Callithrix jacchus: one gene and its partner. The protein of the gene in region 1 purifies or fractionates together with the protein of each later gene. This does not show direct contact. Links are inferred from orthologs where the notes say so. Each region holds a gene or a part of one and is shown on either strand. Other genes may lie near its edges. The genes, in order: CDK7 and GTF2H4.

Region 1 (3,814 bases):
TTATTTTTATTTATTTATTTATTGCAGAGCTGATGTCATGTTGCCCAGGGCTCCAACTCCTGGGCTCAAGCTATCCTTGCTCCTTGGCCTCCCAAAGTGCTGGGATTACAAGTGTGAGCCACTGCACCTGGCCCACAGTTGGATTTTTAAAGCATTACTTCTAAATCACAGTGGTCTTATATGCAAATTAGGCTAATTCTGGGCGACACGATAAAGATCTAAGAAAGTAACTCATTCCAACTTTAATAAAGACATCCATGATACAAAAACTCACTTTAAAAACTTCATCCTATTAAAATACAACCCAAATATAACAACTAGTATTTTTCTATAAGTTTCAAACTATACTCCCAATGAAAACAACTTACTAGATAATTAAATGTGGTCTCAGGTTTATTATGATGGAAATTATATACATAGAAGTATGAGCGAAAAGGCAACAAATTACTTGTCTTAAATTAGAAGAGCATGTGTACATATGGACATAAAAATAACAAAAATTTTTTTTAAAATTAGAAGAGTAATTCTAATGGTAAATACGCAGCATCCATCCATCCATCCATCCATCCATCCATCCATCCATCCATCCATCTATCCATTTCTATATACACATAGCATGTATTGCTAAAAAGAGAAGGCTTATACAAGCAAATGCATTAAACAATGATTTTGTAGCTGGAACAAACCTAAGGGGGGGGAATCTATTTTGTATCCTTAATATTACTGTACATTAATATGTTTCCATAAAGGCTTCTGATACTTCACTTTAGTCTCTCCCTTCATCAGGTAAAAATCACTGCACTGTGTTGTACAGTGCTCTGCTATAAGTTATTCTAGGCCCTCCAAATTTTTCATGAGTTTCATTGTTTTCTCCTTTAAATAGCAGTTGGTTTCAGTTTTTGAGTATCTTTCAAGCTCTTGTAAGCATACAATCATATCTGATTATACCATTTTCTGAATGTGAAAATGACCAGTATGCATACCCAGATTACATTATATAGGGAAGAAAAAATAAGCTGAATAAATTACTTTCAGCATTAGGCTTGCTACAAGATTGAAATGAATTTTTAAGAGTGCAACTGAAAAAATAAACAGTTTTCAGTTTCTTAACAAATAAAAAGCCTTGGTTTTCCTTTCCTCTCCAGGTAAAGTATTTACAAACCAATTATATGAAATAGATATGTATTTATATGTTCCTAAGCAAGTGTATTAAGTGTAAGCTCTCCTATATCTCTGTGTGCATATAACTTAATCTCAGTCTTAACAGTGTTTGCTGTTTGGGGAAAAAATACAAAGTTTGTTATTTCCTAAAACAAACAAAAACACATCTTTTCCAGTATTTAAAAAAGGTTAATTTTATGAAATTCTATTTTTATCAATGCTACAGTTAAGATTATTTTTATATTTCCTAGTATAAAAAAAGATACGGTAAAATACCTGTGTGGCCGTAATTCGAGCACATGGATTAAATAAGAATAAGCCTTGTATGAGATCTAATAAGTCGTCTCCTGCTGCACTGAAGATATGATGCAATGGAATTCCAGGAAAACTCTTAAATGTCACATAATCTGGAAGACTACACATGTCCTGTAAAAATAATTTTATAATTCAAACTGAAGGTTGAAATCCATGTAGATCTCAAATGAAATAAATCGTATTTTCAGGTGATATGATGGTTTATATAGAAAATTCCAAGAAATCTATTGAAAAGTCCTAGAACTACTAGTAAGGCAAGGCTGGAAGGATACAAAATGAAAATTAAACCAATTTTAATTCATTATACTAGCAATGAATGTGTGGACATCAAAATTAAAAACACAGTACTATTTAAAATTACCCCAAAAAGAAAAATAATACAGGTGAAAAATGTAACAAAACATGTATATAGGGTAATATACTAGAAGCTATACAATGCTAATGAAACAAATCCAAAGATCTCAATAAATGGTGAAACATACCACGTTCACATATTGGAATATTCAACAGAGGAAGGATGTTAATCCCCCTCAAATTGATTTGCAAGTTAGATGTAATTTTTATCAAAATCCTGGCAAAATTATTTTAGATATAAGACCAATTATTCTACAATATATAAAGGCAAAGGACTACAGTAGCTAAAATTATTTTGAAAAAGAACAAGAAAGTGGGAGGACTCATACCTGATTTCAAGATTTAACATATAGCTACTTTAATTAAGACTGTGTTGTACTGGGGGAGAAATAGATACACAAATCAGACTTAGAAAGGACTTAATCAATAAAGGAACCCAATAAAAAAGGACTTAGAAATCCACACAAATCTGCCAAAAGGATTTTTGAAAAAAGTGAAAAACTTACCTCTCAGAAGTATCTTTTTTTTTTTTTTAAATAAGAAAGAAAAGAAAAGAAAAAAGTGAAAACTAAATCAATGAAGAGACAGTCTTTTCAACAAATAGTGCTGGAGCACTTGGACATATACAGGCAAAAATCTGAACTTGGCTGGGTGTGGTGGTTCACGCTTGTATTCCCAGCAGTTTGGGAGTCTGAGGTGGGAGGGTCACTTGAGCTCAGGAGTTTGAGACCAGTCTGGACAAGAAAGTGAGACTCCCACTCCAGCCTGGGCAATGGAGTAAGACTGTCTCAAAAAATAAAAAACAAAAACAAAAAACCGAACCTTGCCCTAAGTCTCACACATCATGTAAAAATAAACTCTAAAGAGATCTTGGACTCAAGTGTAAAACTACAAAACTTGTAGAAAAAAACACAAAAAAATTGTCATGGCGGGGGTGCAGTGGCTCATTGCCTGTAATCCCAACATTTTGGGAGTCCAAAGCGGACAAATTGCTTGAGTTCACGAATTTGAGACTAGGCTGGGCAACATGCAGAAACCCTGTTTCTACAAAAAAATACAAAAACTAGTTGGGCATTGTGGTGCATGCCTACAGTTCCAGCTACTCAGGAGGCTGAGGTGGGAGAATGGCTTGAGCCTGGGAGGTGGAGATTACAGTGAGCCGAGATCATGCACACCACTGCACTCCAGCCTAGACAATAGAGCCAGATCTTGTTTCGGAAAAAAAAAAAAAAAAAGCAAGAAAAAAAGTGGCAAGAAAATCTTTGGGTTGGGCAAAGAGTTCTTTGACTTGACACCAAAAGGATTGATCAATTAAAGAAAAAGTGACAAACCTGATTACAATTTTGCAGAGGATGAAAAGGCAGCACGAGGGAAAACATCTGCAAACTACACACACTTTTTGGACTACTATCTAAAATATACGAAGAGCTCTCAATACTCAACAGTCAAAAATCAAAGAATCCAATCAGAAAATGGGGAAAAGACAGGAAGAGCCATTTAACTAAAGATGGCAAATAGACACATGAAAAGATAATTTAACACCATTAGCCATTATTAGGGCAGTGAAAATCAAAATCAGAATGAGCTATCATGACACACTCATCAGAGTGCCTACAATTAAAAAGTGAACACCAAATGCTGGAGAGGATTCTGAGAAACTGGAGCATTCATTTACTGCTAGTGGGAATATAAAACAGTATAGCTGCTCTGGAGTTTTGCAGGTTGTTTTAAAAATTAGTATGTAACTACCATATGAATCAAGAACTGAACTCCTGGGCAATTTATCCCAGAGACATAAAAACTTATTCTTACATAAAAAACTGTACATGAATGTTTATAGCGTATTTATTGATAATAGTCCCATTGGGAACAACACAAATACAGGTGTCCTTCAATGGGTGAATGGTTGAACAAACTGTGAAATAAATCCACGCAATACTAGCCAGTTAAAAAAAAGAGAGAATGAATTTCCATTATGTGGGTA
Region 2 (4,242 bases), on another chromosome or scaffold:
CGCCTAGGCTGGCGCAATCATAGCTCACTGTAGCCTCCAGCTCCTAGTCTCAGGTGATCCTCCCGCCTCAGCCTCCCGAGTAGCTGAGTAGTCATGACTCTGAGCCACCTCACCAGGCTGCAGGCCAATTCTTAATCTTGCCAGGCTCCGGTCTTCCAGTCTATAAAGTGGGAATAATGGAATTTGCTTATAGAAATTTGGGGAAATGTGTAGTTCTGGCTTTGGGTGAAGACCTCTGTCTTTCTCTGTAGCAGGTTCATAAATCAAATCAGAGCAAACAGCTGATGTCTTAAAAACTGTATTTATCAGGGTCTTCTAAGAAAACGGTTTTAGGCATGGTAGAGGCAGAAATTAAGAATTATTGAGTATTTAGGGCCAAGTAAGGCGCACTGGATGGTGTTGTTAACTTGTGGAAACCGTCCAGAATGTGTATACTTTCTTCTCTTTCTCTTTCTTTCTTTCTTTCTTTTTCTTTCTTTCTCTTTCTTTCTTTCTTTCTTTTCTTTCTTTCTTTCTTCTTTTTTTTTGACTTTAGCTTTTGTCGCCCAGACTGGAGTGTAATGGCACGATTTCGGCTCACTGCAACCTCCGCCTCTAAGGTTCAAGCGATTCTCCTGCCTCAGCTTCCTGAGTAGCTGGGATTAAAGGCGCCCGCCACCACACCCGGCTAATTTTTGTATTTTTAGTAAAGACAGACTTTCACAATGTTGTAAAGGCTGGTCTCGAACTCCTGACCTCGGGTGATTTGCCTGTCTCGGCCTCCCAAAGTGCTGGGATTACAGGCGTGAGTCACCGCGCCCGTCCCGGAGTGTGTATTATCTCAATTTTACGGGGAGTAATTGTGCTCACGGAATCCAGTTTTGTGGCCCCTACCCCCTAAACGGCTCACCACTAAGTCGCCATGGCGCGCCTCCGCCAAGAAGCCCTCCAGGAACTTCTATTTTCCCCGGACCCGCCTCCTGTTCAGGCCGGTTAGACGCGCCGTTAGCAGCGTGGGCGGAGTTGCTTCTGCCTTCGCGGAACCAACTGGCCTGACTTCTGGTATCTCCCGCTCTCTAAATTAAAAGCCAGCTCCTCTCCTTTTGGCTTCCCAACGGTGCCTTTCGGGATTTGTAGTCAGACGCGCTTCAGCCGGCTCCAAGGAGAGCAAAGACAAGACTCCAATTCCCAGCATACCCCGCGCCGGGAGAGTGCAGCGCCTATTCTCATCCTCTTCACTCTTCCACTCCTTCCCTTACCTCCCTTCTCTTCTGAATTCTCCATTCTAGGCTCTTGTCTGTGAAATCTTTTGTCGCTTTCCCCATCTTTCCCTGGCATTTTTTTTTTTAACCATCTTTCCCTCAATCTCCGGGAGCCAATGAGAGACTTTGGCTCCGATTAAGCGACTGCCCGAGACTCGGGGTGCACGAGGAGGATGGACAGAGTGGTGAGGGGACCTAGGAGGGTGGGAGTGGCATAGCTGTGAGAGAGAGAGAGGTGAGTGAGAGGCGAGGTGTGGGAGGAAGGCAGGGAGAATCTAGGAGATCGGAAGGCGTGGGTCAGCGTGAATGGGAAGGGAAAAGAGGTGACTTCAGATTTGGGAAGCGTGAAGGGGAGAGGTTATCGTCATAGCAGAAGTGGGCTAAGAGATAGACGATAGGGAGGACGGGCAGATTTGGAGCTTATTGACTGATCTGGACCAGGAGAGATGGAAGAGAGAGGTGTGGGCTCAATTTTCTTTGTCCCTGTTTAGCCAAAGATGAGACAAGTCATTGAATACAAAATTATCTTGCAAACATAGGACAGTTAGCAAGTCTGTCACTTGGTAATTGAGGGAAGACTGGAGTTGAAGGGCAGAAGTAGGGTGAGGAGACCAGAAACGGAGAGAGATTGGTCAGATTTGGAAGAAACTAGAGATAAGTGACAGGGGAAAGTAAGCCACAGAAAAGGTGGGATTATTGTGGGGGCTCATGGATCTGGAATCAGAGTTAGAAAGGTCAGGGGTGACACTGGCATGGATGGTGGGGGTGTGCCTCTGACGTTTGCATTCCTCAGGTGATGGAGAGCACCCCTTCAAGGGGACTGAACCGAGTACACCTACAATGCAGGAATTTACAAGAATTCTTAGGGGGCCTGAGCCCTGGGGTATTGGACCGATTGTATGGGCACCCTGCCACTTGTCTGGCTGTCTTCAGGTGAGGAGCCCCATGGCAAGGAAATGTAATGGGGTCTGCAGATTGGAAATAAATATCATGAGTAAAAGCATAGCAGTCTGGATTGGGGGTGGGGACTGGGGGTGAGGGTTGAAAATTGCTCCAAAGTGTGGAAGGCCAAAATAGCAGGACTGGTAAAGCTGTGGTGGAGTGAGATGAGATGTTTGAGAGGTAATTGAGGGCAGAGATGCAGATACAGTGCAGCTTCTGAAATTAACCTTTGACCTCTATCCCTATACAGGGAGCTCCCATCCTTGGCTAAGAACTGGGTGATGCGGATGCTCTTTCTGGAGCAGCCTTTGCCACAAGCTGCTGTAGCCCTGTGGGTGAAGAAGGAATTCAGCAAGTAAGTCTCAGCCAGATACAGATTTCTCAACAGCAACATTTCCCAAACTGCTGTTTCTTGGAGCACTTCCAGGAAATATTAATAGATCACAAAATTTAAAAATAAATACATTTAGGAAATGCTGCATACTGCGTTTTCCCTTTTATTTATTTCCCAGCTGACTTCTTGTTTTCAAATGTATCTTCCCTCTTAGTTATGTGTGTTATCAGCAATGAGGCTCTGATAGGTAATGCAGTAAAGGCATTTGTCTTAAGATACTGATTTCACTCTGTGAAACAGTAGTTCAAAGATCAGCAAGTTCAGAACAGGCAGGAATGGTAACTTTTATGGGCCTTCTCTTTGTTCTCCAGACACCCCCTCTCATCTCTTTGCTTCTATTCCAGGGCTCAGGAGGAAAGTACAGGGCTGCTGAGTGGCCTCCGGATCTGGCACACCCAGCTGCTCCCAGGCGGGCTCCAGGGCCTTATCCTCAACCCCATTTTCCGTCAGAACCTCCGCATTGCCCTTCTGGGTGGGTATGTCACTTCTATCTCTTCCTAAGCTAGGGAAGGGAAACTGCTGCTAATTAAACTGCTATTAAACTTTGGGAGGGGGAGCTTATGGGGGCCTCCCTGGAACCTTGTGGTCTCTACCTTGGGGAGCTCCTTTAGGAATAAGTTGGACCAGATGTAGCTGTGTTGTGTAGGCAATGTCCCCCAGTCATGGCCCCTGAGGATAAGGGTGGAAAGATGGCAGAAGGACAGCAAGGAACACAGACAGAGTTCCTTACTCTTTTTTTGTTTTGTTTTGTTTCTTTTTGAGATAGAGTCTTGCTCTGTCACCCAGGCTGGAGTGCAGTGTCACAATCTTGGCTCACTGCAATCTCCACCTTCTGGGTTCAAGATATTCTCCTGCCTCAGCCTCCTGAGTAGCTGGGATTACAGGCACCCACCACCATGCCTGGCTAATTTTTTGTATTTTTAGTAGAGATGGGGCTTCACCATGTTGGCCAGGCTGGTCTCGAACTCCTGACCTCAGTGATCTGCCTCCTCGGCCTCCCAAAGTACATGGATTACAGGTGTGAGCCACCGTGCCTGGTCAGAGGTCCTTACTCTTGGCCCATCCTGGCTCTAGGGGGAAGGCCTGGTCTGATGACACAAGTCAGCTGGGACCAGACAAGCATGCCCGGGATGTTCCCTCCCTTGACAAGTACGCTGAAGAGCGATGGGAGGTAAGCACTTGGGACTTAGCTTCTACCTCCTATGGCCCTCGGGGCATGGTCTCCCTGTTCTTTCTGTTCTTCAGGTGGTCTTGCACTTCATGGTGGGCTCCCCCAGTGCAGCTGTTAGCCAGGACTTGGCTCAGCTCCTCAGCCAAGCTGGGCTCATGAAGAGGTAAGGAAGTTAGAGGTACAGCAGTTTGCTGCTGTGCCATCTCCTTGAGTCTCTGAGAAATGGTATCTCGGGTTGGTCAAGATCAGAGGACATCGTCTGGAAAAAGCAAGCTGAGTAGAATATAGCCAGAGATACCCAGAAAAAACATGAGTGGACAAGTGGGTATAGTAGCCTTTCTCTGCATATCACCATCATCGTCCTGCTCTTTGTCCTTAGTGCTGAACCTGGAGAGCCACCCTGCATTACTTCTGCTGGCTTCCAGTTCCTGTTGCTGGACACCCCAGCCCAGCTCTGGTACTTTATGTTGCAGTATCTGCAGACAGCCCAGGTG

What was found.
Region 2: the proteins of CDK7 (region 1) and GTF2H4 purify together in Homo sapiens (affinity purification with mass spectrometry; 7 studies listed by BioGRID and IntAct, with this or other methods). This does not show direct contact. The link is inferred for Callithrix jacchus from reciprocal best matches to the Homo sapiens genes CDK7 and GTF2H4.

The regions. Positions count from the first base shown.
Region 1 is NC_133503.1:140,271,923-140,275,736, forward strand, and holds part of CDK7 (cyclin-dependent kinase 7), read right to left. Parts: intron 1,588-3,814; coding exon 1,438-1,587; intron 1-1,437. UniProt on the Homo sapiens protein: Serine/threonine kinase involved in cell cycle control and in RNA polymerase II-mediated RNA transcription. Cyclin-dependent kinases (CDKs) are activated by the binding to a cyclin and mediate the progression through the cell cycle.
Region 2 is NC_133505.1:35,702,168-35,706,409, forward strand, and holds the start of GTF2H4 (general transcription factor IIH subunit 4), read left to right. Parts: upstream 1-1,224; 5' UTR 1,225-1,414; coding exon 1,415-1,426; exon of another isoform or gene 1,427-1,564; intron 1,565-2,034; coding exon 2,035-2,174; intron 2,175-2,433; coding exon 2,434-2,538; intron 2,539-2,921; coding exon 2,922-3,053; intron 3,054-3,651; coding exon 3,652-3,748; intron 3,749-3,822; coding exon 3,823-3,911; intron 3,912-4,127; coding exon 4,128-4,239; intron 4,240-4,242. UniProt on the Homo sapiens protein: Component of the general transcription and DNA repair factor IIH (TFIIH) core complex, which is involved in general and transcription-coupled nucleotide excision repair (NER) of damaged DNA and, when complexed to CAK, in RNA transcription by RNA polymerase II.